Drosophila melanogaster: one gene and its partners. The protein of the gene in region 2 interacts with the protein of the main gene of each other region in a pairwise test. Each region holds a gene or a part of one and is shown on either strand. Other genes may lie near its edges.

What was found.
Region 1: the proteins of CNBP (region 2) and ktub interact in a two-hybrid assay, tested with the Drosophila melanogaster proteins (one large-scale study listed by BioGRID).
Region 3: the proteins of CNBP (region 2) and CG14718 interact in a two-hybrid assay, tested with the Drosophila melanogaster proteins (one large-scale study listed by BioGRID).
Region 4: the proteins of CNBP (region 2) and CG16985 interact in a two-hybrid assay, tested with the Drosophila melanogaster proteins (one large-scale study listed by BioGRID).

What each region holds. Positions count from the first base shown.
Region 1 is NT_033778.4:21,100,078-21,104,949, forward strand, and holds the start of ktub (king tubby), read left to right. Parts: upstream 1-1,850; 5' UTR 1,851-2,498; coding exon 2,499-2,540; intron 2,541-4,872. Other genes in the region: CG34396 (uncharacterized protein), read left to right, coding at 138-1,174. UniProt on the Drosophila melanogaster protein: Functions in regulating protein trafficking, retinal maintenance and lipid storage. Protects photoreceptor cells R1 to R6 against light-induced retinal degeneration by stimulating norpA-mediated endocytosis of the rhodopsin ninaE (Rh1).
Region 2 is NT_033778.4:22,934,045-22,938,985, reverse strand, and holds CNBP (CCHC-type zinc finger nucleic acid binding protein), read left to right. Parts: upstream 1-1,908; 5' UTR 1,909-2,473; coding exon 2,474-2,971; 3' UTR 2,972-4,417; downstream 4,418-4,941. Other genes in the region: CG9849 (uncharacterized protein), read right to left, coding at 202-496, 827-1,122.
Region 3 is NT_033777.3:11,698,681-11,703,229, forward strand, and holds CG14718 (uncharacterized protein), read left to right. Parts: upstream 1-1,933; 5' UTR 1,934-2,065; coding exon 2,066-3,406; 3' UTR 3,407-4,040; downstream 4,041-4,549.
Region 4 is NT_037436.4:2,597,688-2,600,748, reverse strand, and holds CG16985 (uncharacterized protein), read right to left. Parts: upstream 1,430-3,061; 5' UTR 1,393-1,429; coding exon 1,369-1,392; exon of another isoform or gene 1,314-1,368; coding exon 1,248-1,313; exon of another isoform or gene 1,170-1,247; intron 1,062-1,169; coding exon 917-1,061; intron 853-916; coding exon 638-852; 3' UTR 507-637; downstream 1-506. Other genes in the region: CG12182 (uncharacterized protein), read left to right, coding at 1,430-1,484, 1,679-3,061.

The DNA of each region.
Region 1 (4,872 bases), 1.8 Mb from region 2:
AATGGACCCATAACCATCCAAAACTCCTAAATCCTTTCGTTAGTTCTTATATATGAGCATATTTCCATTTTAGGTTCTTTTTTTAGTTAGTCATATTTAACTTATTAACTCCCATGCCTTCTTCTCTTCCTTTCCAGGTTACGGCCACATCACTCCAAAGACGGGCATGGGTCGATCCCTGACCATCGTCTATGCCATCATCGGCATCCCCATGTTCCTGATCGTGCTGGCCGATCTGGGCAAGTTATTCACGCGCTGCGTCAAGTTCCTGTGGGTGTATGTGCGACGGATGTACTACACGCGCTCCTGCCGCCGGATACGAAAGCAGCAGCAGATCCGGAGCGCCATGACAGGCTTCAATACGATGTACGACATGGCCATCCGCAGGCCGAGCATGTTCTTCAGCAACTCTGCGCCAGAGAACGATGAGGAGTCGCAGGCGGATGCCGAGGCCGCAAGATCGGTGGGCACCTCGCACCCGGAGACACCCACATCACCCTATCCAGAGACCTTCGAGGTGGACGACGAGTTCAATTTGCCAGTGTCGGTGGCCTCGCTGCTGCTCATTACGTACATCCTCCTAGGATCCTTCGGCTTTCTAATGATGGAGCCCAGCTGGACTCCACTGGATGCCTTCTACTACGTGTTCATCTCGATGTCCACAATTGGGTTCGGCGACCTGGTGCCCAGTAATCCCTTCTACGTAATGGTCAGCATGATCTATCTGATGTTCGGCTTGGCCCTGACCTCCATGTTCATCAATGTGGTGCAGATCAAGCTGAGCGATCACTTCAAAATGGCCAGCGCCAAAGTGGGCGCCACCATTGGCATGAACATGACCAGCGAGCTTGGTGATGAGGGCGGCTCCCAGGTGAAGACTCCCTCCGAGCTTGCCTCGGTGCACGGTTCGCGACTGGACAGGATCGAGGAGGATGGCCAGGAGGCGAATGGCAATGGCCACTCCCCGGTGCCACCACTCACCTCGATCCTGCGCGCACCGCGTCCTCTATCGCCGGCGTCCAATGGAGTGGATGCTAATGGAGTTGGAGCCGATGCTGTTGGAGCTGGGGATGTTACTCCGCCACCTCTGCTGCCCAGGCGTCAGGTTTCCGTGGATCCCCAGCCGCCGGCGGAGGGGGAGAACAAGAAGAAGAAAAAGCACAGGTTTTTCTAGAATCCCTGGGATCTTCCGCCTCCAAACAAAAAAAAAACCGACAAAGTTAACGTGTAAGAAACCTCAAAAATGACAAGGCAATTTCAATCGAATTTACCGTAACGCGAAACTCTATATTCATTTATTTGTTATTTAATTTTACTCACCATCATCGTAGCATAAGTCTAATGTTAATGAAATAAAGCGCGCGAGTTGACAACGCAAATTGATGTTTTTAATTGTTGTAAATTCCGCTTAAGGATCATAATCATAAAGTTGTATAATTTTTCAACACTCTATTATCCTGTTATCAGCGTGGTTTTTTGCTCAATCCGGAATCGAATTGCCAGATGCGTATGCTTTGTACGGGAATGCATCCCAAAATCCCAGTAACAGGGAGTCGGGGGCGCGAATCCAAATGCAGTCGCAGTCGGCAGCTGCACATCTGTCGCTCGTAGGAAATGGAAGAGGAAGCAGCCACAGGAGGCGTTGTGCGGAGAGAGAGAGAGAGAGGGAGAGAGGGAGAGACCCATTCCCATTGAGAGCGAGTTGTGGTTCTCTCTGCCTCTCTTTCGCTGACACACGACAGGATGGCATGCTTCGCACTCCTGCTTCGGCTGGCATTCGTGTGCATGTTCCGTTTCCATTCCGTTCCGCTACGAGCACTTCGCCTGAGTTGACGGCTTCTGTTGGACGCCCAGTTGTTGTTTTGGCAGCGTGCGGTTCGGTCGACGGGTTACATCGCCTTCTCTCCTCTACCAAAATAAAGAGGCGCCAAATTCAATCAATTGGACAATATCACACGCAACTCAACGGGCACGAAAGTGTTTGTCAAACAACATAGATTGTATAACATTATAAATATATGCATATTCAGGCGGTACTCGCTCAGTGGCTAAAGCAAACATTCAGTGCCAGCGATCCGGAGAATTCCGATCGATCGCGTCGGTACAAAAAAAATTGAGCGAGAACAGGAAGAGCCGGCTGTTGGCTTCAGTCTACAAATCCTCACCCTCGTGAACACCCCTTGATTTTTTTGTTGTCGCGTGTGCTGCCGTACTACACTACCACAAACTACAAAATATATACCATACCATACAAACTGACGCCAGGTGTGCTAAATTCATAGATTCTTCTTCAATTATTTTGGTGCCCCATCGGTTTTTGTTTTGCTGCATTCATTCGCATTCGAAAAGTCGCTCTTCAACGCAAATCCCAAAACAGCTGTCACTCCCGAATATTTGCCAAATGCCTCTTCATCGGATCATCTGAATCGCGCGTAGTTAAGTGAAAATCGTCAGAGGATTTTGATTGCCTTCTGAAATCTACAGCCATAACTGCAAAAATGTCCGGAATCAACAGTCGTAATCAGAAAATGGAACAGCAGGTAAACCCAACACTCCAATTTGGCAGATCTTTTCTAGATTTTACCAAACCTATAATCTTTGATAATGTAATCTCTGAAATTTGAATTTCTTTAAATGTGTCATTCATATCCATTGTGTTTGATAATCTTCATAAAGTGGACACATTAAACCAACGATCCTATATTATAACAAAACCAATCTATACATACGACAGCGAAATTTATGAACAATTTAATGGCTACTTGTATTAAACTTTTGCTTTAGCTAAGAATTCTTTAAGAACTTTTTTTCAATTGACCATGAATCAAGGCAAGTTAGCACTGGCCTTTTAACTCTTCCAGCCCGACGGTTCGTGAATGTGGTCTAGAAACAAGAAAATCCACTCCTTTCTTGGAAAACTCGGGCAGCCCATAGCAATCAGCGCCAGCAGAAAAGGGGCCATCAGCCGGCATTACACGGAATTGTTCACTTTTTGGCCTCAAAGTTGACCGCTCTAAATGTGCCACCCCTTAAAGGCAACAAAAAAAAAAGGAAAATGAAACACCCAAGTGGCTTAACGCCTTCTCCAAGTGGTTTTGTTGTGCCCGTTTGCTCGTGGCCAGGTGTTCGTCCGTTGTCCTGGCAACGGCGTCCAAATAAATCGAAACGAAGCTCCTGGTGGTGGTGCAGTTGCTGCAGTCCGATTCGATTGTCATTGGCCCTAATTATGTTGAGTGGCACGGAACCAAAAGGCACCCTACTCCACCCACTGGCTCATAAATCGAATCACTTCGATGTGGTTGAGTTGGGCTGCCAAGTGTGGGAGGTCCTGGGTCCTTCGAGTTACTTCGATTTCGTGCCGCTATGGCTTATAAAACATTGAGCAGCTATTGACAGCTTCTTCGAATGGGAGGACATTTTGAAAACATTATGCCAAGTCATTTCAGCTACAAATGAAATAGCTTGAAAGAAATCGAAAATAAGTGGAAGCCATGGGAGCGCATTTCATTTTGATTGAATTTTAATTTTAATTATAAATTCACATTGAATCATCTCACAAATTCCCATGAATTAACACATTTCGTGATTACCATTTTAAAGCAGCTTGTTTGAATAATGTTTGCTTTATCACATTCATTTTCAAATGCGAGTATAAATATGATAAATATTCACTTGCTGAGTCAAGCTAATTTTCTTTGAACGTGTTAGCATAGAACATTAATCCTTCCGAACAATCGTTTTGGGTCATTTTCTCGAGCTTAAGCCAACACAAAGTTATATCCGCCATAAAAAAGAGAATGTGGCACAAAAAAACGGAGTCAATTTGCACTTGGCATAAATCAACAGAAAGATATATGGCAGTCAACTCATAAAGTGGTCGCTAAATATACACAAAGGATTAATAAAGTCTTCGGCCTGGACGCCAGCTAACCCACAATGTAGTATCCTTTCTTTGATTGGTGTCCTGCGTCACTATGGGCAACTACCCACACACACACACACACAGATATGTCCAGGCAGACAGGATTCTATAGTATCCCCATAGGAACACAGACAGACAGCGCAACTAGAAATATACACAATACCATTCGTTGGCATTGTTTTCGTATTGCCATCACCCATGGAATACCATTAAGCGAGGCCACAAAATCGATTCCCGCCTGGTGACGAGTCCTTCAGCTTCGCGAGGAACTGAGCCGCAGGATAATGCCCAGCAATAAGTCACACAATTGTTCACTACTTCCACATATGAATATAATATTTGCTTTCCGCAAATCGCTCAAGCTTTTCCTCACGCAAGTCGTAAAAAGAAACATTTCGGCCAAAAAAAAAGGATGTGACGCACCGACTTTTTCTAATAAGTTACTTGCGTAGATTAGGGTGAACCTTTAAAGCTTGAGAAGTGATTAAAAAATATGATTTGACTAGAGTAGAGCTCAAGCAGAAAAGAGACCCGCCATCTAACTGACCATATATAACTTTCTTTTGATCAAATGAACAAAGTTTATTCGGTGTACTTCCAACTGCTGTTTTTAGCATTAAGAAAAAGGTCCACCCTAATATGTATATTAGCCTAACTTCACTTAGCTTTACGGCTTTTGCCCTTTGTTTCGAGCCTGTAATTTTCGTTCTGTTGCTTCAAATACGAGGTTCTTGACCCAACGAGAGGAAAAGCCGGCTAAAACGAAATCGAATTTACCAAACTTTTCGTCTGACAGCCAAAGTCGAGATTTAATATTTAATAAGAATACGATACCTTATTAAATGTGCATTTGGAGCTGTCATTATGAACTGATTGATTGTTTCGGTAAGAGCTGTATTATTATTTGACTTCTGTCTCAAATTACCCGGCACTTGTAGAATCAAAATAAT
Region 2 (4,941 bases):
ACTTGGCGACCTGACTCTTTGGCTGCTAAGCTATTTATTTACAGTTTATGGCTGCCGTCTACGAATTAGCTACTTATTGGTACTCTAAAGTATAGTCTCAGTTGCGGTCTCGACGTCTCAGCCTACGAGTATGCACTTTGGTTTCAGATCGTGTGTGTCTCTTTCACACGAGTCCTTTGAGCTGCATGTAATCCGATCACGTCACCAGCCCAGCCACGGCGGATGATTAATCTTAGATGGCGGGGTAAAGGTGAGGTTGACCGGTATGTTGATCAGGGCGTGCACCCTCTTCAGCCGCTGCAGCGTCGACCGGATGATGACGCCATTCTTCCCGAGAAGAAAGCCGGCCGGTATGTTGGCGTCCTGTTGGGAGTTGTCATGTATCATCTCGATGTAGTGCTCAAACTCTGGAGAGCTGGGATTGTACTCAGTGATGATTGCAGCCAATGCGCCAGCTGCCTCCGCTCGAAGTGTCTTCGTGAGGAAGGAACACTCCCTGAAAAATGACATTGTTAGTTTACGAAGACAAGAATCAATATCTATCTATATCTGATATGAAATATCTATATCGCTTTCCCGTATCGATCTTTTGTATTCCTATTGTAAAGAAAGGTTTCATTCGGAAAATTGATAGATTTTGTTAATAAGACTTTAAACGGACACTCCGGACGCACGTAACCAGGTTCTGACATTTGTGATAAGAAGCATGGAACTATGGCTACAGTTCGTCTATGGTTCGTCTAAGACCACTGATAAAAAGTGGCCGTGGCTATGACCATCTTTCAATAGCTAAGATAAGCTTTGTAGGGGTTCTTAAGGCTCTCACCCTCGATCAATGAGTGCGACGCCCCCATTCAGATCTCTGGCGTTCCGGATCTCCTGGCAGGCGCCGGGGGGATCTGTAATCACTAGCGGCACACCCTCCAGTCGCTCCGAGAAGGCGGATCCAAAGTCCTTGGCCGGGCGCAGCCGGTACGTGTATTCCAGTTCCGAGGGGGACAGGATTTCAAAAAACACGTCACCCGCTATTATGTCCTGCGTTGTGATCGGTATCGATATCGTGGTGCTGGCTCTGATGGATCGGCTCAAAGTGGCGGCAAGCACTAACCAGGCGATTAGCATTTTGGCCACGCACGCATAACTAATATAAATGTTTGTTGCAAAAAAAAACAAACTAATTCTTATGGCGTTAGGGATGAACCGACGGCAGGCAGTGCCGCTCTGTCGATACTATCGACCGTTCACAATACCTATTGGTATCGACGAGGGCATTAAAAGATATTTTATTAAAATAGTAAATTAATATATAGTAAATTAATATAGTTAATAAATAGTAAAGTAAATTATTATGACTTTATCTAATTTATAGCTTTTGAGGTAAATATTATTCATAATTCCTTTTCTCTGCAAATACTGATAAGCAGGAATACCCTTTTCATATAGTAATCGATGTCACCCAGATTTCAAAAAATCGTGCTGCCCAATATTTGGGATAATATAACAATAATATAAGTGTACTCAGCGTATTATTTGTGAAAGTCCTTAAAAATGTACACCACTATGAAATATCGATTTTTTGACAAAGCCAGGTTCTTTTGATAAATCGTTTTATATATATGCACATAAAATATTTTATTAGTTGTTACGTAATCTGAGTGCTTTTCTATTATTAGAGTATTACGTTTTCTCTTATGAAGTCTTCAGTTAGCTATTCTTTGCTAAGCACCCCTAATGTGTCAATCGATATCAATTTCTGCAAATAGCCAATTTCAAAAAGGTGAACGTATGTTGTGTCCAAACAATTAAAATAAAACAATTATTTGAATGGACTTCCTTATAAATTTAAAGATATATATTTCGATAGCCCTTTGCCAGGGGTACTCCTAACGACTGAGCCGATAAGTTGCAGTCCATCACCACGGACACACTGGTTACGTGTGGTTATAAAGTGGCAAAATCGAGTTCGCAAAATTGGGTTATGTAGTGCCTCCTAAATATGGAGGACACGAGACAAAAGCTAAACACGCCAAGTGAGAAAGCAAAATGGAAATGTAGATTCTGTGAGACAAAGCACGCCGAGTGGAAGTAGTACGACACCAGCACACTACACAATTCCAGACTGACATTTCGCCTCACCATCGCATATCCTCGAACCAATGTGCACCGCGTGGAGGGTCAGTGTTGTATTCAAGCGTAGCCGAAGCAACTCTGGCGAGTAGTCGATACCACAGCAAATCGGTACTCATTCGCTCAGCGGCAGCCATTTTAACTTTTGGCGTCGAAAATACGGCGAGGAAATCTGAGGAAGCCGGAGATCCTGTTGGTCTGTGTGATTTTTTCGCATCCAGCGCAAGCAGTGTGTAGTGCTCGAGGGCCCGTGGTTACCAGTGAGTGTGTGAGGAAGTTGAGAAGTTGAGTTTAAGAAGCGGAGTCGGATTTGCGGATCAGTAGTCTAACCAAAACCGAAGCAAAGATGTCGATGTCTGCCACGTGCTACAAGTGCAACCGGCCGGGCCACTTTGCCCGGGACTGCAGTCTCGGCGGCGGCGGAGGTCCGGGCGGCGTTGGAGGAGGCGGTGGTGGCGGCGGCGGCGGTATGCGCGGCAACGATGGCGGCGGCATGCGTCGCAACCGCGAGAAGTGCTACAAATGCAACCAATTTGGGCACTTCGCACGTGCCTGCCCTGAGGAGGCCGAGCGCTGCTACCGCTGCAACGGCATCGGGCACATCTCGAAGGACTGCACCCAGGCGGACAACCCGACCTGCTACCGTTGCAACAAGACCGGACACTGGGTGCGCAACTGCCCAGAGGCCGTCAACGAACGTGGACCGACCAATGTGTCGTGCTACAAGTGCAACCGCACCGGACACATCTCCAAGAACTGCCCGGAGACCTCGAAGACTTGCTACGGCTGCGGCAAGAGCGGACATCTGAGGCGCGAGTGCGACGAGAAGGGCGGACGGAACTAGGCGCCACCACCCACCCGTGGCACCTCATAAATGTAATCATCGAAGGAGGAATATGAGTAATAATTCAACACACGAAGAACAACCAGAAGAAAAGATGAGAACGAAAAAAAATGAAAAAAAAACGAAAAATCAATTTGCTACAACATTCACAAAGCCAGCCAACAGCAACAACATCTAGAAGCGATAGCAGCAGCACCCAAGTCAAGATCAACCCCTTCAAAATAAAGAACCCACAACCACATCCACATCCCTCCATTAACACATGCAGCATATGAATCCATAATCCTGAACATCATCCAGTAACCATCGCTGATTCCAAAAGCCGAGCCTGCAGCGCGGTGCCAACGTCCCGAGAACTGAAAGAAGACAAGAAGTATTGGCTTTCCGAGGGAAAGCCGCCAGAAAAGGAATCACGGAGGAGGAAGAGGGCAAAGGCTCCTCGAGCGGGGGTCGGAGGAGCAGAACCAGAAGACGATAGCCAACGGCAGCTGTGCAGCCGAGAGAGCAGATGACACCGACGACGAGGAAGAGGATGAGGTAGAAGATGAGGAAGAAGACACGACGACCCAATTTGTAAGATGAGACTAAACCACAACAGCAACAACAAAAGAAATCACCAAGCAAACCACTCTACTATAATTATACCTATATGATTATATGATTATGCTGCAAGTGTTTGAATTTACTAATTACATTATAACGAATGGAATGAAACTATATAAGATTATATAAAGAAAAATACCTTAAAGAATACTATTTAAAGCAAATGATCCTATTAGGAGTTCCACAGCCAGAAACAACCGAAAGAAAAACGTAAATAAAAATTATAAAAACCAATGAAAAAGCGAAGAATCAGGCGGCTAGAAGATCAGGCCACGTTACCACTCGACTCCACTCAACTCCACTCCATCCAGCTGCTGCCGGCGAGCCTTGGGAATTATCCAGGATCTAAGACTGTAAGACAGGATCTGTAGACAGTAACCAGTATCCCACCCCTATACCATTAACTCCATCCACATCCATACCATACCACACACCCATCAGCCAAGACGCCTGGCAAGATCTCTCAAGCGGGGTAGCATGCTATGTAGCTCATAGCTGTGGAGCCAAAGGGGGCAGCAAACAAGAACAGAGAAGCAGACAAATAACAAGAAGAGAACATCAACAATGGTAGACATACACGACGACTTTGAAAACGGAACGCAACGCTGGAGAGGATGAGCTAAGCGGTTAAAGAAGCAGACAAGCAAGCGGCACTCAGAACACTCAGTGGGCAGATGAAGAAGACAACGGCACACACACACCTTCAGTTCAGTTCAGTTGGACGGACGGGACACAAAAGATGCGAGACCGAAACCTACGTACGATGAAGGAAATGAAAATTCAAATATCACTGTGATTGTTTTTTAATTGTAAATTAAAATGCTGGAGCTGCTGATTTGAGACAAAAAAAAAAATAATCCCGCACCATGTGTTATGTCTTTGGGGTAATTCTTGCAGCGTCTTCCAGGGTAACATCTTTCATTAGGCCCCCTGCCAATTTGAGGCATCTCCGCCCCTGAGCGGGAGAGAGCGATCGCCCGCTTTCGCACTCTCTCCATCTCGCTCGCGCAACCAGTTTACCGGCGATTTTCACAACTGCAGCTGCGGGAACACATGGCGCAGGCAGCTGATGGCGATGGCTGGATGGAATATGGGGCTGGGGGCTCTCTTTTCGCTATGTGCTCACGCCGCTTTCTTTGCTCTCCTGCCCTGTTCTTTTCTGTGTGCAGTTCGCGTACCAGCACACACAACACACACACACATGCATGCGTACATACGCGCGCGCTAAGTGAATGCATACATACGTATGTATGGACGTACAGCGTGCTGCGAGGTACAGTCGCCGCTAATGGTGAAAACTGGCTGTGCGAAAAAGCAGGCAGAGAGCAAGAGGAAGAGAGAGCGGTCCCGGGGTGGGGTGGCAACTT
Region 3 (4,549 bases), on a different chromosome or scaffold from region 2:
GTGCCCCGTAGAAGTGCAGTATAATACAGTTAAATACCTAAGTGCACTCATTCCATTAAAATGGATTGCAGCCTATGCTGAATGCGTGCAATTCATCTCAATTAAATGTGTATTACATTTTATGAATATTGATTTTCAACGCCCCCCTCCATTAATTCGACTTTGTGCGGGATGCAGATACTTCATACTTCATTGGCAGATATGTAGGTGGATAGGTGTTTTCGATACCCAATGCGCACCTGCACCTTCCGATTCGTGTCAGTTTATTCAGGTAGATTGCTGAGCTGAGCTGAGCTGAGCTGTGCTGCGTGTTTACTCTGCTCCAGCAGGCAGCCAATTCATTAGCTGTTCCTACTTCGCCTTTGCTGCAAATGGAAGGAAAGACAACATGAATGCTGCACACAGTGCGTGTGCACCGAGAGATGCTGATGAAGAGTCATCCCTTTTGGCCACACCATAGAATAACCGAACGCAGCGTAGTCATACATATACCAGCTTATATTCCGGGCCAATTGCTTTGCTGCGCTTTTGTCTTTTCAATTACGGACGAGCTTCAAAGTCAAACTTTTGTGCAATTATACTGGAAGACAATTTGCCCTGTCTCGATTTTTATGAGCGCACAAAAAGTTTTCCACCAACGGAATAGGAACTTTTCCCCGGCAACAGTTTCCATTTCGCTGTTGTTTTCCCTTCAAGACAGTTGATTTTTAATTTCGTGTCGGCGGTTCCCAGCTTCATTACTTCATTTCAACGGGGGAAATATTTGACGGGTTAAAGCAAAACTTTGCCGCTCTGAAGTAAAGCTGCTGCTGTTGAAGATGCTGACCCTCCTCCTTTCTTGGAAATGGACACCACAGCAGCGGGGGCTGCTAATGAAACAGGAGCTTCCGTACAGGACACCGGATCCGAGAACCCGGAATCTGATGATAAGGTCAGCGGACTTGGTCGTAAAGAGGCGGCGGCCATAAAAGCCAATTGCTGGTGAAAATGTTGTTTCCTTTTTTTTTCCCCCGAACCGAGCTGGCGACAAACGTGGCACTTTCGTTTATCAGGGTGGCCGGCCTTGAGTTCGGGTTCGGGATATTAATAAACATGTCTTCAGAGTCCACGCTCCGTTGGCAGGACATTATTCTTGACTGCCCTCCAATTCGGGATCCTTTGTGGGGTTAATGTGGTCGCTCATTAGTGGGGTAATTGGCAGCTAATTGGCTTGATGAGTACCAGTCATCTTGATTCATCGTGATTGGCCCGGCCATGGATGAGTCTTGTCTTCGAAAAATATGAACTTAAGTTTCAGATTCCTATGGGAGTTCTACTCGAAGCTTTTAAATTGATATCAGGTACTTTTCTGCGCCATCTCACGCTGCGAAAATGTAATCAAAGTTTGCTGATTAAAGTGAAAATGTGCAGAAATTATGAATCAATTTTCCGAAGACGACGACAAGCGAAGTGCAAAGTCATCAGTGAGCTGCGAAAGTGGCATCCAGAGTTTTAGCCGCCAATCACGGAAATTTGCATAGTTCTTCGCGCTTTTAACTATGGACTACGGATGGAAAAACCAGGTCAAATCCCTTGAAAGGTGTGGACGTAAAAGTGCCAGCCATTTCGATGTCCATATTGCATTTTTACTTTGGCTATTAATACATTTTCACTCAGTAAATTCCACATTATTGAATTAAATTAATCCTGCCGCTGTCGATTTTATTTTAAATATATTCATTGGCAACAAACGGTTGATATGTTGGTTTTTGTGTGCAGCAATGATATTATTAATACTTCGGATTATATTGTTTTGATGTGGATAAACACATCACCAACATTTTTTCGAGTCAAAAGTAATGAAATTAAATTGGCTTGCCATTTGATTGAATTGGAAAAATATGGCTGCCAAGTAGGCTACAACACAATCTATCAAAGAAACTTAGATCCGGAACTCAGTTCATTTTTATACTCCTAGTGTCTGGATGTTATCAAAGATTTCAGTAGTTTTTAAAGGAATCGGTTCGTGTTTGATCAGCAGTAAAGGCCACACAACGAGGAGTTTTACGTATATTTTTTACCAACCATGGATAGCACGTCAGCCAGCGTAGTGTATACGAATTCTTTTTACGCTCCAAATTACTCGGACACCCAGCAGCCACAGCCACAGCTGCAGACTCAGCAACAGATGTTCCATGCCAACTACATCGTCGGAACCACATTGGGTTCTGGATTGGGATTTAATTTTGCACCAGCCCCCATTCCCCAGGCGAGTGCCGCTTCCGGTTTGAGTCCCAGAGGCATGTACAGTGATCTCTACCGCTACGAGGATGGAAGCGGCGATGCCAGCGGTTCCTTGCTTCTGGTCCAAGAGGATGACCACTTCTGTGGTGCAGAGGCGGACCAGCAGTTGGTGGCCAGCACGTCGTCCTCATGCCCGATGGCGAGTTCAGGCGAGTCCGTGAGCATTGACACAGAGCAGGAGGCGGAACGGGATCTTCAGATGAACCAATGTGAGACGCTGGAGCGGGAAGAGCTGAATGGAGATATAGGGGAAATGGGGGAAATGGAGGAGCTTGCAGAGGAGGTTAATGGCGAGCAGAGGCCGCCGCTGTTACCCTGCATGGGTGGCAACACATCCTACATGGTGTTCCCGCGCACCGCCGCCGACTACATGCCCCGCCTGGCGCTCCCGCGGCATAGGCCCTATATAAGCATCGGTCAGGAGCAGTACGTGATCCAGGCGGAAACTGTCTTCGTGCTGGGCATGCGCCTCAATGTGACCAAGAACGACATCATCCTGTTCTTCGGCAAAGTGGGCGTTATCAAGATGGACGAGTCGACCAACAAGCCGAAGATCTTCGTCTACAAGAACAAGATAACGGGGCGCTCCAAGGGTGAGGCCACTATAACCTATGTGAGTCCATTCTCTGCACAGGCGGCGATTAGTTGTCTGAGTGGGGCCAAGTTCATGGGACAGGTGATCACCGTTCTGCCCGCCTACCTATCCACCCGGAGGGGCAGTGTCCGGTACAGTTATCCGCGAGAGCTTAATGCGCCGGAGCACCAACGTCGCCAGCGGGCAATGAAATGGAAGCCAGCCATCGACAATTGGGTGTGCATGCTCTGCCGGAACAGCAACTTCGTCTGGCGTTCCAGCTGCAACAGATGCCAGGCGGACAAGGTGGTCGCTCCTCAGAATAACGAGGGAAGTTCCTGGGCGGGATCACGCGAAGAGGACGGTGCCCCTCGTCGTTGGCGGCCATACAGGAACGACTGGCTGTGCAAGATTTGCTATAATATGAATTTCTGGTACCGAGCGAAGTGCAATCGTTGCCACGCCCTGCGTTCCGATGAAATGAAGAGCTCCGAGTCGACGGAGGAAGATACCTGGGAGCTGGTTCTGAATCCGCCCATTGCAGAGTAGAAACAGTCCAGTCCACCTCGTTCTGTCTGTGTCTGTGTCTGTATCTATACGTGTTATCTGTTTTGTGTATCCGCATCTTTTTGTACGAAGGACACTTCTGCCTTCTGCATCCTGCTCCTTCCGGACTTCTAAAAATTTCAAGTGATTGGAACGCGAACTGCGTCGTGATATCCAGATGCAACTTCAATTGAATTGAATCGATTCGATGCGATGCCCATGAGCTTGTGAGCCCCATCCAAGAACAGCAAGAGCCAAGAACAAAAGACACCTAAATTCCTGTTAATGCCCGTCTTAGAAAAAGGCGTTTGAATGCAATGCCGCCACCATATACCCGCCGAACCAGTCTTTGTCCCCAGAGCAGAGATCCTCAGATTGCGGGACAATGCAACTTGCTGAATGGTAATCCACTTAATCCGGGTAACTGAATATTTTACCCAGGCACAAAAGGCAACCGGACCCACCTGGCCAGCTCTAAACGTTTAATGAATTTATTTACTTTCCCGACGCGTGCAGTCAGTGGCTCAGTGGCTCATTGGCTCTGCGGAACTGCACTGTAAATCGAAATATTATATTCAATGAAGTCTAAATTGTTTAATAAAATTAATCTTCTATTCATTTATTTATAGAAAGGGTGAACTCGTGGCTTTAAACTATCACAATGAAATTTCAAAATTTCTGAATCCCCCACAGCAAATCCTTGACTCAGATTGTTTTCTGTGTGCAGTGGCATCAAGCCACTTGAATCCATGTCCCACAAGTCGCTCGCCAGCCCCATCCTCCTACTCCTCCTTTCTATCTACCTCGTCCTTTTCTGTCATGTGATTTAATCAAACTTTGCGTCAGCCGAATCTGTGCCACAACAGCTTGGCTGGTTGGTAGATGGTGCGGCTGGTGAGTTGCTCTTTTGGCTGCACCCGCAGTTGCGGCTGCCCTCGTCTGCCGCATGCCACGCCCCCCTGCTCCATTCACCAGTTCACCAGAGGCGGCGCCTGGCAGACTTTGTGTTGTGCATTTACTTTGCACTTTCTTCCACGCGAGCGGACAAGGCACCTGGTGGGAGCTGTGGAGTGTGGAGTCCGGAGTCCGGAGTCCATCGTCCCTAGTCCATAGTCCATAGTCGGTTGTGCTTGGTCTGCCGCCTGC
Region 4 (3,061 bases), on a different chromosome or scaffold from region 2:
AGTCGTAACGTGCACTTATATCTCAAGTGTCAGATAGTAATTGTTTTACAATAGAACAATCCAACTTTATTGTATGTATGACGTGTGTAAGTTTGGATGGGACTAAATCCATTAAAAAATAAATCACAGTAGTATATTAACAAATGGATTGCTTTGATTTTTTCAATATTTGATTTCATTATCTTCGAGTGCAGTTTTCCGCTTTTCGATGAAAAGTAAACAATTAGCAAGTATCAAAAAATAAGGTAAACATAATATAGCACGATATTATGAAATAGTTAGTATTTAGTTAACGGATCCTACCTAACTATCCCCGTACTGCCCGAAATTTACATAAAAATCTGAAAATCTAACGTAACACCTAACAAAACAATTTCAAAACAAACAACAGCTGTTTTGCGATAAGCAGAATCGCCAATCGATAAGTTAAAAGGGCAAATCGATATGCAAAGTCCTACCTATTTAAAAATTATCCGTTGGGATTTCTATAGTCTTTCATCTATTTTAGTTTTAAATATCTTTATTTTGTAAATTAAGAAATAACTAACTTAAGAAATAATAAATAATTAAACTAGTACGTCTTAAGCAGAGGTTCGAAAGATTTTATTTCGTTTTCTGACGATCTACAAAAATTGTTTTAAAAATCCAGTTTTTCCTTGTCGAACTGAATGTACTTGACCTGTCCGCCCTTGGCGATGATCTTTCCATCGGACTTACGCCTCAGAATGCAGTCCAAATAGGCCATTTTCTTACCGGCCCGCACGGTATTACAATCAATTTCAATAAGTTCGCCAGGTTTCGCTGCTGCAATGTAGCTTACATTCAGGTTGGCCGTAACTCCGGGATGGGATCCTTGAAATTTAAAAAAATTTCATTGTAGATTCTATAGATTGTAATAAACAAACTTTCAAAATACCTTTCGACATAAGGGCATATGTGGTACAATTATCAACAATTGTTGCCGTAAGACCACCGTGCAAAGTTCCTTGGCGATTCAAATGCTCATTGGCCACAGTGAACTCCCCTATTGCGCGACCATCTCCACCGCCTGTAATTTTAATCTGCGAATTGAAATTTGTTTACATTTTTGAATCTCTGAAGATCCCACGAGAGAGGTGAGCACTTCACGGTTATCGATTGCAGCGAGCTGAATTATGTAATACCATCACTGATGACAGTCAGCTGTTTTTGAGAGACTTCGACGGCGTCGCTTTAAAATCGGCTGCACAAATTGTTTAGAATCTTACCATTTTCAAGACGCGGTCGAATCCATTGGACCCGCTGGCGTACTCGGACATCTGCTTCACAAAGTCCTTTGAAAAGAAAGAACTTCAGTTATCTACTCAACAAGTTACATGGTGCTCTAACCATTCCCAGTTTCTTGGCCGCCATTCCGGTGGATTTGGATTCCTGAACTGAGCACGACGAAATGACGAAAGTTACTGAGGGAGAAATTTCACATGGCGTTCAAGATGTCGGGAAATGTGAGTGTATGCGTGCTAAATAGATATACCCACACATCTGAGATAGTGATTGCCGATTTCGCGCGGTTTGTTGTGCTCGCTCTGTTCGCACTTACAAATAATTCCTATTCTTCAATGAAATAGTGTAACTGGAATATCTTGTAATATAATTGCAGTTTGTTATTGCAATTAATAAATGTTTAATTTCGTTCTAGATTATCTGGATTTTCACCTTCTAGCCAAAGGATTCGTCCGCCAGGACTCGGTACACGACTTTGTAAACAGCGATTCCGATGGAGACTTTATAGCACTGAGCGGCTCCAAATCGGAAGTGATCACTCTGGAATTGAGCAGCAAGTTCATGGTCGTGGATCCCTTTCCGTATTTTGTGGCCATTTATGATTCCAACGCTGCGGAAACACGACCTCTGGACGTTTTGGCCAACAAAGTGGATCTGGTTGCCATATACGACAGCTGCGATGTCCTGGAGGCACAGCACTTGGCCCTGGACCCGGCATACACGGCTGTGTGCTCCGTTGCCGTGCCACCAGCCAGACTAACAGCTGTTAAGCGAGCACCCAAGCTGGCAGCTAATGGAAATCTCCTCCTGGGCTCCCTCAACACTTATGGATCCTTGAGCCTAATAAACAAGTCCGCTGAGTACAATCGTTGGAACCCTGTGGAAGGACTAAATATCGCTGAAACTCTGAGGGACACTCTGCTGCCTGAAGTGGACATCGCCAAGATAAAAGACTTTAAGAGCTATCAAGAATATATTAATCCCGCCTGGATCACTATGTTTGCTTGGTTACCTGATGATGCAGATGCCACTGGCCAGCATGTTTTGGTTCTGGGAACAGCCGCAGGAAGTTTGTGGTTGCTCACACTAAGCGCCGATGTCAAAACTCTTTTAAGTCATCAAGAAACGAAAACCTCAATGGGTCGTATCTGCCATATACAAGCTTTCAAGGACCTTCTACTGGTGGGCGATAGCAACGGACTCATTCACCTGTACCAATTGCCAGCTAAGGGAAATACAGCTCTCGCCTTAGTGAAGCCCTTGTGGGAGAAAGCCGATCGCATGGGTCTGCAAATGGCAGTGATCACTGAATGTCCCAGAATGGATTGCTATTATATAACCTGCTGCAAGGCGGCGCACCTGCTGACCTGGAGCATGCCAAGAACGGGGAGCACAGACTGCCTGCAAGCTCGGATCTATGTCGGCGGAATGAAGATCACCGCTCTCTGCAGCCTGGAGAACAGTAGCTACGTTGCAGGAACCGCTGGAAGCTGTTTGTCTTGCGTACAAATTATCCACGAGAATAATCAGCTTAGCCTGCAGATGCAATCGATAGCCATGGGTGTCCTTCAGGATTTCCAGGTGATGGGACTGTGCACCAGTAGGCACAAGAACTTAATGACCCTGTTACTCTACCGCAACAAGGAATATCTAAATGAAACTGTATCTCAAAAGAACCAGTTGGTTATGCAAGTGCTCAAGGTGGGGAATCAGGATCCACTTGATCAGCTTGTCAGGCATCTGGAATCCAATAAGCCCATGAATCACTATACCGATTTATTAGCTGGACTACGTCTGC